Lytechinus pictus: one gene and its partner. The protein of the gene in region 2 binds, or shares a complex with, the protein of the main gene of each other region. Links are inferred from orthologs where the notes say so. Each region holds a gene or a part of one and is shown on either strand. Other genes may lie near its edges. The genes, in order: glycosylated lysosomal membrane protein B-like and major facilitator superfamily domain-containing protein 1-like.

Region 1 (7,507 bases), on a different chromosome or scaffold from region 2:
CACGTTGTGTCAGGAGGGTTGTGATTCCATAGGTTTGTGTACAAAAGCATTGGGTATTTTCTTCTATTTCCATGTTATGAATCCATTTTTTTTTTGCTTTCAGATGAAAATGGCACTCAAAATTATTCACTGTTCAAATTGTTGTAAACCTACAACTATTCACTACCTTTTTTGTGATTTCTTTGTTTGGCTCTTATTGGGCCTAAATTGCTATGTCAGGAAAAGTTGTTATACATAATCTAAATGCAGATAGAATTGAAATCTGCGCCAAATTTATAAGCAGGAAATAAAATATGGCAAAAACTAGTTCAAAACTGCAGATTTCATAAATTCAAGCTTGTGGGTAAAAATATATGTAATATCCCTCTGTGATAGAAGTGAAGAGAATGAAATGCATTATCTGGAAAGCAAAAAAATCACCCAGTTTTTTGTGTACAAACCTATGGAATCACGACGCTTCTTACACAACGTGACGTCACGGTCTCGAGGCAGGTGAAAAGGACAATAAAGCCTATTTTCTAAGCGGGGTTCGAAACCCGATAATTGGAATATTCTTAATTAAGCAAAATACTCAGCTGGGAAGCGGTGAAAATGCATAAAGCATACCTTGGTGCATTTAGTAGCTTATAAGCTTTCGATTGGTATATAATTTATCAATTTCATTTTCGGGTCCGGTCTGGATCTTTAAGACCGATATTCGGAATTGCAGAAAACATTACATCTGTTATGTTACGAGGCAATGTTTGCTAATGCTAGTTGCTAACTGTTTCAGTGTTTGAAAATTCACGCCCATTGAAGAACATTGCATACACGTACGTGCGAGGTCCGTCTGTATACAAAACTCGCATTAGTGTGAGTGCGTTGGATTCTGATTACTTTCTAACCTTAAATCACTCACTGCATCCAATGCAATGATCCATTATTATAATAATTATTTTGCATCAAGTTCCAAATTTCATTATTTGTTAAATAATAATTTTTATCTATAAATTGTTCTTCAAAACGGCATTTTGTAACATCGTTAATCGAAGACCTGTACGTCATACATAAGCAGTTCAAGCCCATTGTATTTGCGTTGTGTACAAATGGATCGAGGGATCTACACGAGATCGGTCTGGTAAGAAAACTCAAATTTTTCACCTTTTTATTAACACATTTTTATGCACCTTCTTACGCATTAGGCGTATGAAGGTGTATAAACAGTAGAGGCGCACAGCCAATATGGGAGACTGTCTCCCAAGAGAGAGATTATCTCTAATATCAGAGACTTTTGTAAATAATTTGGGTATCCAATTTCAGAGACAGTCTCCAGTTTGGGAGACCAATATCCTTTGTTTACATTTGCTGCAAAAGGTGTGATTGGCAGATATGAAAAATTACCCTTTTTCACCGCCTACTTTTGTTTTGATAAGGATTTTTGTTGTCATCCACACACAAAACAAATGGGCTTCTGACCTAAGTAGGCGGTGCTGCACCATCCCGAGTTTGCTCAATCTCGAGATTTTAGCCCGCTCGGTCCACTTCGCGATTAATCTCGAGATTCAAGAAACCCCGTCTCCACCATCGCAAGAAGAGCGATCCCTGCTCGAGCGAGGCAACAAGACCGATATTACGAGCATGCGCACTTTCGGATCTTGGAGTTTCAACGGCCCGCGCTTTTGAATAACTTCCCGCGATATGCAAGCAATGTACTCCTTTCACTAGCACTTTCGCCGAATTCGACCGGTGTTATGCAACAATCCTCTCAGCTCAGCGAGTGAAGAAGTGATGTATTCTTCGTTAAATATGATGGCGGAGTAGGAGGCAACGACAGAGAGAGAGAGAGGGAGAGAAGGAGGAAAGAAATGCTATTTGCTCACATTTTGCGAAAGAATAAGACAACACTGCTGTCAGTGTTGTTATTGAATATGACCATCGTCGATGAGCGCCTCCCCCTTCGGTCTGGTCTCTCCCAAAATCCATTCACTGGTGGGACACCATCGTTGCTGATTAGGCAATTGATGAACGCTATTCGCGATAATATCTATTCGCATGTATAAAGTTGACTTTCGCACGTGTTTATGTTTTGACCAAGGCGGAAGTGGAACGCGAATTGCATTACGGACTGACGTCATGAATAAATTACCCCGAGTCCAATCTCGAGTGCGTCTGCACCGACGAATTAGCAAGATAATTCGTAAAATAGCGCGCTATTTTGCAAATAAACCCGAGTTGACTTGGGATTGCAATCTCGAGATTAATCCTACGAACTAGCGCGATAATTGCGTCTCCACCGCAAACTATCTCGAGATTTTTCAGATCGGGATAATTTGCCGGATCAGAAATAGCGCGCTAATTTGAAAACTCGGGATGGTGCAGACGGCCCTAGTGAGACAAAATTTTGGGTGGAAAAAATAACGCTTTTGTTGGTGTTGTTTCTTTCGAGTCTCCAATATGGGAGATTGTCTCCCCTATTGAAGAGTCTCCCATATTGGCCGTGCGCCTCTACTGATAAACATGATAAAATATAAATAAGTAAAATCACACAAATGATTTCTATCTTCAAAGATGGATTTCCTAGGGAAATCCATCTTTGTTTACATGTGTCTCTTATAATATGGGAGGAGGTTCAAGGCTTCGTGATCAAATGACAATATCAAAATCATAAAAATATGATCACACAGAGTCCTCAAGACATGTCCACACACACAACATTAACAAAACAAAACAAAAAAAACAGACAACAAACCCCAATTATGACATTCGGTGATTAATTTCTAAGTAACATAGAAACATCAAACAACAAATGGAACAAAGAGATTCGATATTTACTTGCAATACAAACGTTTTTTTTTTTTTTTGAAAAGCCGTGACTCTTCTCTCGACACAGCTCAGTCACATATAATTATAAACACTGACTTCATTTTCGGCGGGCCCCTACGGCTACGAACATCTATCGCCGCATCTCACCGATGCACTTCTCGCCCTGGCCCGCTGCTTGGCCTGGCTGTGTGATGTGCGGGGAAAATTTGATTCAAAACGGGTGCTCAGCTAGCTGCTAAATAACAGTACATCCACTTACATTTCTAATCTGATCATCACATTTTACACCAACTGTGATAGTAGAAATAAGGAACAAACATCTGAACATAAATGCAGTTGCAGTCATTTTGGAGATAATTCTTGATACTTGCCCCTCGCTCGGCCTCGTCTCCTTTCATTTTTCACTGACTGCGCTGAGCCGATATGATTTCCGCTAGACTAATGATCATGTGATATTTGATCAAGTAACGTGACCTCCGTATCGGTAACACAAAACTTTGCGATTGACGTAGGCCGATTTCACGATTGATTTTAATAACAATGATAATGTTATGTTATGTTATGTTGTTATGTTATGTTATGTTATACCGAGGTTGTTTTACCTGACTGCTAAGAAAACACGAATGCCTGTGAGCAAGCAACCAGGGGACCAACGGCTTAAGGTCCTCTCCGAGGGACCTGGTAATGAGGATTATATGTTATATCGAGGTTTTTTACCTGACTGCTAAGAAAGCACGAATGTTATGCAATGAAACCGCACATTTTAATTTGCAAAGGCCTATCCTATTTCTCAATTGTTTTTTTTTTTCCATTCATATCCGAATTCACAAAGACATGCTAGATCACCGGTCCCAGCCACCCCACTGGGCAATTTGTTACCGATTACCAATTTTACCGGTTATTACCGGTAATATCACCCGGAAATTTGAGTAACACCAAATATTACCGTTATTACCATGTTATTACCGAAATTATAATTCCTGTTGATACCTGTTACTGTTATCACCCTGATGAAACCTACATTTACCTAGTTACAACAGGGTGATGAGGGGTAATAAGGGTAATGTTGAATGACTTTGATTGGTTATAACATTGCAAACTTTAGTAATAAGAGCAATCTTACAGCAATCCCGGCGAAATTTTCAAAGTCCAAAAAATTACTGTTATCACCCTGATGAAACCAACATTTTACCCAGTTACAAACAGGTTGATAAGGGGTAATGGGTAATGTTGAAACGCTTCCATTCCCAGACAGCAAAGTATCTGGATCACATACAGTTCTTATCTGGGATATCTGGGTCCCATATGGGCCCACATGGAACCCGAGATGAAAACATATACTTGAACCCACATGGTGCCCAGATAGGACTCAGATGGAAACGAGACCTCCAACCCATGCGGAACCCATTAATATTGGGTAAATGGAGTAATATCAGATGGTAATATCAGGAAAATGCTGGGAATATTAGTTACTCATGAATATTCATTACTACAATAAATGGCCAAAATTTTAGCTAATATAGCTGTAATAATTAATGTGTTTATGTTTATGCAATTATTCCACCCAGAAAATTTTCAGAAAAATGTGTAGTTTATATATCATATTAGTCATAATCATGACATTAATTTTAGAAAAATGTTTTAGGGTTGAATAATTGTTAACCATAATTTGTCAAGTGTTGTAAACTCGCTCAATATATAGAAGTAAATGAGAGGGTTTGGTGGATAGGTGTAGGATAGGATTAGGATTAGGATGTAGGATTTTAGGATAGGATAAGATGATATGGCTTAGAGTATGGAGTTGTAAAAATGTGCTTCAATGACCCTAATGACACTAATCGTTTTTTTAATGAGCCGACATTAATTGGGTAATATTGGGTAAACAGAGTAATATGAGGTGGTGATATCATTAAAATGCTGGAAATAGTAGTTACATCATACTGAGAAATATTGGGTAAATGGAGTAATATCAGGTCCAGGTAATAAGAGGGAAGGATTGGTCTACTATTTCCCTGTTATTACCCACTGTTGTTACCGTAGTAATATCCATGTTATTACCTGTTACAACCCGGGTAATGTCAGGTAAAATGCCCAGTGGGACTGAACTAGAAATACTAATAATAATATTTCTTGTTCAGTGGTCCCGGCCGGCAAAATCCAGGTCAAGTACCCGATGTGTTTATGCCCAGGAGGGCCCTCATTGAAACCAGTTGGATTTCCAACTGGTTTCAATAGGTTTCAACTGGTTTCAATTGGTCTTAACTGGAATGTAACAATTTCCAATTGTAACCAGTTGGGCAACTGGATATCCTAACTGGAACCAGTTGAGTAACTGGAAATGTCTTCCAACTGGAAATACTGGAAATAGTTACGGCCCTGGAAATCCTAACTGCAGTTGCACTAGCTGGAAATGATCAACTGCATGAAATTGACTTCTAACTGCATGGAACCAGTTGGGTAACTGGAAATCCTAACTGGAACCATGCAGTTGGGTAACTGGAAATGACTTCTAACTGGAAAGTTGGTAACTGGATATGACTTCCAATCGGAACCACTGAGTTGGATAACTGGAAATCCTAACTGGAACCAGTTGGGTAACTGGAAATGACTTCCAATTGGTTTTCAATTTGAAAATTTTCCGGTTATCCAACTGGATCCAATTGAAACTAGTTAATTTGCATATTATCTGCCAATGTGTACAAAGTAATGTTTTATGTGATTCATCATCATTTACAATGTATAAATTCATTTCTTTTCTTTCTCAAGTGCCTCACTTGTTTAAGATAAACTTGTTTAGAAGAGTTAGCAGTACGTGAAAACCATGTTCATAAATATTATATATTACAATTTTTAACAGATTAAAATATAATTAATACATCACTAACTGTTACCAAATTACACCAAATACAAATACATATATTCGAAGCTCCTCCACACAAATATATATGTATGAAAGTCTAAATTTTATCAATGCCCTTTACATTGGTATTAATAGAATGATATAACAATGCTTCTGTGTTGGCATGGGCTATAGTTAGTACAAATTCTAATTAATTTGTAACTAATTAAGTCAATTCCAACTGGAAGTTCCAACTGGTTCCAGCAAACCAATTGAAACCAGTTGCTTCCAATTGGTTTTAACTGGAACCCCCTGGAACCAATTGAAACCAGTTGCCTCCAATTAGATTCAACTGGTTTTAATAAGAAAATTGGAACAATTACTGGAACCAACTGAGGGGCAGTTGCCTAATTTGTTTCAACTGGAACCAATTGAAACCAATTGCCAACTGGTTCCAGTTGGAACCAGTTGTTCCAATTTATTGAAACCAGTTGGTTTCAAGTGGTTTTGCTCTAATTGGTTTCAACTGGATTTTGGTCCTGAGTCGTATACATCCAGATCCACCAAAAGTGTATTAATAAATGATCTACTCCCAATCAGAGTATAGTCTATCCAAATGAAAACGATTGCATTAATAATTGTAGCTGTATTATAATCATAATAATATCAATATCTGCATTTGTAGCGCCTTTTGCCTGCATGAGGATGCAAAGAATGTGCTAAAACACAGGTTTTAGACCGAGTATCATCCTTTTCAACAAGCGCCTTCAGTGAATTAATAATTATGTCAGACACCCATTCACCTCCCCTGTGTAGAAAGCAGCACTGAGTAGATACTTTTCTTGCTAAAGGAAACCACGACCATTGTGTTTGAAAGGTAAGACCACTAGAAAACGACGCGCCAAGATAATTTTCGAAGAAAATAATTATAAATAAACGGAACAAAAGGGAAAAAAGAAACATCCATCGGTGAAATTACTATCATTATTTAATATATCAAACGGCTCCTGTCTTTAATCAGGTATCAGAAAGTTCTCCAGGAGAGAGAAGAATTATGATAATGAATAAACAAAAGATAGAGGAAGAGATAGAGAGCATATCGGTGACACGACATTTGCTCCTGCTACAATTACTCCGGTCTTTACATATACGGCATAGGCAGCGGCGTACCCAGAATTGAAAGGGGGGCAAAGTTTGTGGAGGATATTTCGTCCGCGAAAAAAATTGACAAGCAAAAAAAAAAAAGGTCTTCTACCTTCTTCTTCTTCTGTTGAATTCCTCCGTTCACTGGAGAACTGCAAGCCTTTAGTACAGTACAGCATGGTAAAATAATGAGCTATTATAGTCACTGTTTGCAGCAGCTTGATCAACCACAAATACAGGATTTCGTACCAGAAAAAAAATTGACAAGCAAAAAAAAAAAAAAAAGTCTTTAAGTTCAAAAGAGGGCGCACACGTCGGTTTTCTTTGCATATTTACATTACAAATTATTAATTTTGCTTCTCAAAGGGGGGGGGGGGAACGTCCCCTGGATCAGTTGTGACTCGTCAGGGGGCAGGGGTACGTACGTCCCCTGCATGAGTTGTGACTCGTCAGGGTACTTAGTGGGCATAGAGTTATAGTTAGGATTGTAATAAAGTTTTTGGTTCAGAATAATAAAGATAAGAATTATGGTTTATTCAGTTTTAGAGATTTGGATGAAATCGGGCTTAATTTATTTGTGTCCTGCTTTGTGTCATGGTAAAAATGAGGGGAAAATAGAAAAAATGGAGAAGGAAAAAACAACTAAAAAATGAAATAGAAATCCAGCAAACGAAAGAACAAAGAGAAAAAACCTAAAGTAGGGTGCTGCCGTTGATTTAAGAG
Region 2 (7,310 bases):
ATCACTGTATATTTATTAAAGTTTTATCAATTATATTGCACAAAGTCAGACTTAGTTCAATGTTCAATTTAAATCATTTCTTATTTTTTACTATTGAAGTTTCATCATTGTAATTTTACAAATTATACAAAATAAGTCTTTTTTATTTGTATTACTCAGTAATTTCTTTTTCCAACATTCAGTTAAAATTCCTAGATTTTTGATACCCCTAGTTTAATGTCTTTTTTAAAGTAAAGTCAAAGATTTTCACAGATATACTTTGTCATATAATTTCAGAAAATATGGCTTTATATAAATTCAAATGTTTGATTTTTCATAATTTCTGGTAATTAAGTTATTTGCTGAACGTCATATGTTAAATTTTTGTAAAGTTCAGTAGTATTTTGTCTTGCACTTTTCAATGTTCAATATTCCTTTGAGCTACCATAATTGTTTTTATCTATTTGTCTAGTGGTGCTCTCATAAGTTTTTCATTTTTTTTGTAAGTCCAGGAGATACATTTTTCCAGTTGGCAAGACATGCATAAATTTAACAAAAACAAATCTTTAATAATTTGAAAAAAATGTATATATATATTCAAGATTATAACATTTTTTTTTCTTTTCGGAAATCAAGACAAAAATTTTCAGTTTTTTGTTTTTTTCTAATTGATACGGTATTTAATTTCATGGCATGCAAGTATAAGATATACATTGAAATTATTTGCATGTTCATTTTCCACTGAAGTTACTCATATGATGCCAAAAAGGAAAAGTTCAAAATTCTGATAAAATATATATATTTTTTTTTTATTTTTCCATCCTCTCCTGGTCTTCACATTTATTATAAAATTGAATTATGTCATGGTTACGTTACTTCTTTTTAAATTCTTTTATGTAAATAATGTTAGATGTTCAACTTGTCAAATTCTGGTTTTGCAGCTTTATTTTATATATAATTTTACTTTTTGAAAATTGAGGACAATTTTTTGGAAGGAGAAAGTTTATGTAGGATTGTTAATTTGTCATTTACCTATTTTGTTTATTTCCTTTGACTTGTGTTTTCTTCAGGTGTTTTACATTTCTGTTCTGTCTAGACTTTAGTTCATTTGCATTTCTTTTCAGTACTGCCCTTGCAGTCTGGACTTAGGTTATTTGAGTTTAATGATATTCAGTTGTCATTCATTCATTCTACTCTGAATGCCTTTCCTGTGTTTCTCTTGTCATCTTCATTCCTTCTCTATTCTCTCTTCAGGTGTTCCACTCATTCCATCCCTCACCTGACTCCTTAGTTTCTACTTCCATTATTACATAATCACCAGACATCTTTGTCATCTCATCTCATTCCTTATTGGTTTATCTTATGAATTGGGTTCTTACATTTTAGTTCGATCCTTCCATTTTCTTTAGTTTGATTGGTTGCTATTTCTAATTTAAATATTTATGTAAATTATTCTGTGATCCAAAGTTAAGCTGAGGCAAAATAGCCCAGATATTAAAAAGTGTACAACCAGACTCCTTCGGTTTAAGTTCTCTTCATTTTGCGTCTGTTTCACTTATTCCCCCTTCAGCATGATTGATTGAGTTTGATTTAGAACTTCATTTATTTTCTACCTCCAAACATATAATTTTCTCAACCTTACAATAGTTTTAGTGGACAAAAATATTCTTATATAGACCAAATATGCAGCTTTTCTATTAAAAACATGAATGAAGAGATTTGTGATGTGAATGAATTAAATTTTTGATACCACATTCACAATACCTAAGAAATTGAGAGAATTAAGACTTGGAAATTTGTAAGATTAAAAAAATGTCAACTAAAATCCTTTCATCAATTCAAAGGTCAATTCTGGCCTCTGGGATCAATTCACAAAAATGGTGACGAACCAACATTTATTACCCAACACATGAACATGTTGTCTTGTCTTGTAAATACTGCACTTGAACACCTCAAAGAGGCTATAGACGTGCAGGCCATTCATGCAATCGCTGCCGCTATATACTTCTTTTAGTTAGCATGTTTTTGCTCAGCTGTTTCTTATGCATGTTTATACCTTTATACCTTTATACCGCATCTACTGGAAAAATACAGTTGTTCCTGCAGTCAAGTTTCCAGGTCTATCTTGTTGTCTTCCTATCTTGTTGTCTTCCTAGCTTGTTGTCTTCCTAGCTTGGATAAGTTCGAAAACTTTATGACTCAATCCAAAATATAGGCCTAAGCTGAATCAATCAATCTTTCTTTACCCATCATTATTCAGATAAAAAATGCATTTTGATGTTAAAAATTGGAATGTTTTTGTCATGTCAATGGTCTGATCACTCACCAACTCCTAGTCCTAGGCTAAAGAAAGGTTTTCAATTGTCTGGACGGTGATTGGAATTTTCTATGACAACAGTTGCGTTTTAAAACCATAAGTGATTTTTCTTATAAATATAGTTCCTTTAAAAAATCATAGGATTTGACGATAATCATTTTGTCAAAACATTACTGTTTTTTTTCCAAGTATTATTTTTCATGATTTTATCCATTCTATATAGAGTGGAGGCAGGATGCAGGAAATGGTTTTCCAAACCTTGTTTAAGATCGACTACAAGTACAAGTCTACATGCAATTATTTTTTTAATGTGCCATTGACACAAACAGTGCAGTGCCAGGCAACTCTTAGAGTTGGAGAGTAGGCTAACCTCACCTTAGGCTTAGTCTAGAGAATTGTTTAGTTTTACTCTCCAACTCCAGCAGAGTCCAGCACCAGGCTCTAATAATTAGCTCCTTAACTTCTTTAAAAAAAAACAACGTTAAACTTAAACTACAATGTAAGTTGACGGAATATCAGTTAAGACTTTCTCAGCTCATTTTAATGACAGTCACCCTAGAATGAAGATAAAGATATATTGCCTCAGTCTATCCTTACCAAAACTTAAGAAACAAATAAAAATAAGAATGAGGTATCTATGCAGGGCCCGTCTCGGATCACAACAAACTGTGGCTCCACAGCCTGAGAGTTCCACATCCTCATCATCATCCTGAATTTGATTCCTGTCCGGTCGTCCACTCAGCAGCGGTGCATTTTCATCATGATTCTGATCGTTGTTTTCCATCCTTACTTGATCCTGAACGAAGATTTTTAGTTTATTAGTGGACAAAAGTCAAAAGTTTTGAGTTTCCTTTTCAGCTAGCCGCGGATAGCATCTTCAAACTTCACAACATCAGTCGAGTCGGCTCATAGCTTAATGCAAATTGGACACAAATGCAAAGATATACCACAAAAGCAGCCGAGGCGAGGGGTCGTCACGTGAAATAACAACCGTGACAATATATTTTCAGCAATATTGGGGTTATCTATGCTAACTTTGGAAAGTAATAGAAACAAATGTATTCATATCATTCTTTGTTATATAATCCTATTCCGTAAATACAAATTATAATGCAGTCCCTGGCATTCATAAAATCTTGTGATTTTTATTTTTAACAGCTCTCGTAACTTTGGAAATTCAACAACGATTGATGACATGACTAAAACTTTTATTTGAAATCCAATCATTAACCTGGAATTGAGGTTCAACGAAAAGTTAGAAACGGCGCGCCACATTTGCTCGACCCGCGATCGCGAACGAGGAGTTGACAAAAACTTGAAAAAGTTAGTTCTTTTTGCAGAAATAAATCTCAGTTAAGGTTAGATTAATAAATCATGGCACCAAAGTCAAAGAAACAGAAAGGAAAGGGGAGTACCAAATGTGATAGGGATCAGTGGGTGTGTATTACTCCAGGTAAGAGTGAAATTTCAACTTTGTTCTGTCATAATCAGATAATTTCATGATGCTTAGTCCCACATGCTTGTAATTGTGTCATGACACTGACTAAAAGAGTTTCTGAATGATCCTGACGTCGACGCGAAGCTGAAGCCGATGATGACGAAGACAAAAGGAGGGAAGAGAAGAAAAAGAAGGAGAAAGAGGGAGGAGACGAGAGTAAAACATTGTCATTGACAGACTAGGTCTAGGAGGTGGAGAGTCATGCATATTACTGAAGAAAACATTGTCAATGTCATTCACTCATTCAGTCATTGTCATTCTCAATCTGACGTCAGTCATTGTTTTGACTTTGTTTGACTTTTTTTTTTTTAAGGGAGGAATTCTGGAAAATGAATAGTATAATGGTGGCCTTCAAGTCTTCGCACCTAACAATTTGAGTTAAGATTTAACATGAATTACTTTTTCTTTCACAAAATCTTTCAGTTAATAATGTTCCTTATAATATTAAGTGTACCAAATATCTCATAAAAATTTGAAAGAAATATAGGATTTTCTTGGAAAAAAACCTCAGGCTGTCATTTTCAGATTGAAAATGGTACCCCATGTCTTGGCACCCATTCACTTTGCACACGATTCGGGGAATTTGATGAGAAAGGCTGCATTTTGAGGCCGTCACATGAAATGCCCAAACTTCATTATTTTTCCACCATTTTGAGTCAGATTTTTTAATGAATATCTGTCTATGTATTGCATGGGTAAAGTCTGTGTTCTTTGCGTATCTTCTTTTACTAGAATCGCGCAGATACGCATGTGCGCAGACAAGGGGGACTGCGCAGACTGGGGGGAACTTTCCATAGATCTAGGCCTAGACTAGTGAGTAGAAGACGCTTGGTGCAGAAGAAAGTGAGGTCGGATGGGGGAGAAGAAAAAGAAGTCTCCAATTCAGGAAATATCTCCCATTATTGGAGACTGGGTATACAAAAGGAAATACACTGTAGAATCTAATTAAAAAAACACGCGCATCATATGCATCTGAAAATAATTTCAAACGCTTAAAACTTTGCGACATCTTTCCAAAGGGAACTTGAATTTTTAAAATGATGAAAAATGGTCAAAAATGCATTTTTAAAGTCTCTATATTCTCAGAATAGCCCATCAGTGCTTTTGTTGTTTTATCAAAGTTCTCATAGAAAACACACTTTCGGTAATGCGATACCATTTTCAAGTGACCAAAATATTTCACATGCGAAGAGGGGTCCGATGGGAAGCTGATATTGTAAAAAATAACAATGATTTCGGCAAAATTTTTACAGGTTTATATTTTGTAGGTATTTTTGTATTTATGGTAAAAGTTTGGTGAATTTTATGAGAATAATATATTTGATATGATTAAATTCATGAAAAGTGTCTGGTAATACAATCCACTACCATACATCACTAGAGGCACATGGCCAATATTGGAGACTGTCTCCCGAGAGAGAGATTATCTCCAATATCAGAGACTTTTGTAAAGAATTGGGCTATCCATTTTCAGAGACAGTCTCCAGTTTGGGAGACCAATTTCCTTTGTTTACATTTGCTTCAAAAGGATTTCCTTGGCGGCAAATAAAAATGTGATAAGCAGATTCCTCATGAAAAATTACCTCTTTTCACCGTCTACTTTTGTTTTGATAAGGATTTTTGTTGTCATCCACACACAAAACAAATGGGCTTCTGACCTTAGTGAGACAAAATTTTGGGTGGAAAAAATTATGCTTTTGTTGGTGTTGTTTCTTTTGTTCTTTTGCAAAGCAAGTCTCTAATATGGGAGATTATCTCCCACATTGGAGTCTCCCATATTGGCTGTACATGTATCAATCAATCTGATAGGATAATTTAAGTCTGGGAACAACATTTAACGTCACCATCTGAAAGACCCGACCAGAGCTCAAATCTGTCAATTTTTAATGGATTACAGGCACATATCAAAGTGGTCAGTTATCTTCTTTTTTTTTAAATGTAGTCTTGCCGTGAAGCCAAGATCTTGGGCCTGTTGCATAAAACTTTTGCCATAAAAAACTCTGGCAAACAAAATTACACAATTGACACTTAACACAAAAACTTTCAATATGCAACAGGCCCCCATTTTCTGTTTTTACTTTTGTGTAGTTTTATGTCTAATTGGAAATGCCAAGATTTTCAATATGACATCCCTATGTTTCTGTTTCATTGATATATCATACATGTATTTAATTTTAAATAATCAAATTGCTGTGATAGTATACTGAAAAACCTCTCACACAAACTAATGATTTGGTGTTTTTTTTACCTTCCCTTTCCATTCTTTCAGAATCTTCACTTGATAGTATTGATGGTTGCCCAGATCCAACTTTTGTAAAGCTGAGGCACCCTAAGACAGGTATAAAAATTAAATTGTATATATTTAATACCTTTTTATTTATCATGTATTTTTTTTTCTTTCCTAAAGCATGTTTTCATTGACAAGTTCCTGTGATGAAGCAGAATTCCTGCAATTTCATTGGTCAAGAGCAAATTTGTCATGAATTTCTGTGACTTTGTATTGTTGCAGACTTTTACGAGCAAACATTTTTTTTAAATCGCAAAAATAAACAAGGGAATTCTGAATATATAAGGGAAAACACTTCAAACAATCATATTTTATAGGGAAATGGTCATCATTATGCACCATTAAGTTGATATACGCACCACTGCCTTTATATTTAACATCTGGTGCTACACCATATTATGCCTGATCATCGAACTGTTAAATATTTCCATTCAAGCAGAGAGATCCATTTATTTTCATATGAATTTTTGTATTATTCTTGCTTGTTTGTATTAGTCTTGGTAGTTTTCTCCCAGAATAATTAAAGTCTGATTGGTTAATATTAAAGATAAACAATGTTTATTTATGTTGTCTTGATTTTAATATTTAAAGTAAAGGGTCTGTATTAATCAAACTTAGATTTTTGGTAGATCCTTATTCACTGTTGTATTATCTGTCTGGTAGTATACAGTGAGTCAAAAGTGCATTAGTGACCACCTCTCTAAAGCAGCCACCTGCCTTTTTTAGTGACTTCTAAAACAAATTTTCTTGGGGGCAATTTTTGTGTTTAAGAACCTGTCTATAGCAGTCAAGTGCATATGTGTTTCCCTAGGATGGTTACTATAGACAGTTTTCATGTACTTATTATGTACTATGTAAATATTGGTATTATATGGTGGTGAATGTGGAATATAAATGAAATAATAATAAATAAAATTTTTAAAATCAAATAAGATCTTAAAAATAGCATGGACAAGCAGTTCTAGGCATTCTCAGCACCGATTATGAAATGGCTTTATAATGTTTTTTCCACCTGCAGAGAATGGAGCGATGTTTCTATTCAGCAGTGACGGAACGGGTGTTTATGAGGTGATGAGATTCAAACGAGACTTTGGATCATGGTTCATTAATGATTCAGTCCAACAAGGTGAAGTATTTCAAGAATGATGATTCAATCCTAAGTGTATTGATTACAGGTGTTAACTTGAGAGCCTCAAGCCCAAGGGCCGGTTTCATAAAAAATAATTAAT

What was found.
Region 1: the proteins of major facilitator superfamily domain-containing protein 1-like (region 2) and glycosylated lysosomal membrane protein B-like are in contact, whole or in part, in a cryo-EM structure (PDB 8R8Q), measured with the Mus musculus proteins. The link is inferred for Lytechinus pictus from reciprocal best matches to the Homo sapiens genes MFSD1 and GLMP. Residues at the interface, in NP_080089.1 of Mus musculus: Val288, Glu292, Lys293, Arg295, Phe349, Phe351, Leu411, Asp412, Lys414, Gly415, Tyr416, Leu417, Leu418, Val421, Ile424, Ser428, Leu432, Val435, Leu439; in NP_064387.1 of Mus musculus: Glu250, Asn252, Ser253, Ile254, Asp255, Asp256, Glu257, Pro260, Ala261, Phe263, Gln264, Arg292, Phe364, Leu367, Val368, Ile371, Met372, Ala375, Ala378, Leu381, Met382, Gly385, Phe389.

What each region holds. Positions count from the first base shown.
Region 1 is NC_087249.1:14,774,861-14,782,367, forward strand, and holds the start of glycosylated lysosomal membrane protein B-like, read right to left. Parts: upstream 3,257-7,507; 5' UTR 3,149-3,256; coding exon 3,062-3,148; intron 1-3,061. UniProt on the Homo sapiens protein: Required to protect lysosomal transporter MFSD1 from lysosomal proteolysis and for MFSD1 lysosomal localization.
Region 2 is NC_087260.1:28,506,829-28,514,138, forward strand, and holds the start of major facilitator superfamily domain-containing protein 1-like, read right to left. Parts: upstream 3,265-7,310; 5' UTR 3,081-3,264; coding exon 2,894-3,080; intron 1-2,893. Other genes in the region: ribonuclease H2 subunit B-like, read left to right, coding at 3,671-3,749, 6,064-6,132, 7,100-7,207. UniProt on the Homo sapiens protein: Lysosomal dipeptide uniporter that selectively exports lysine, arginine or histidine-containing dipeptides with a net positive charge from the lysosome lumen into the cytosol.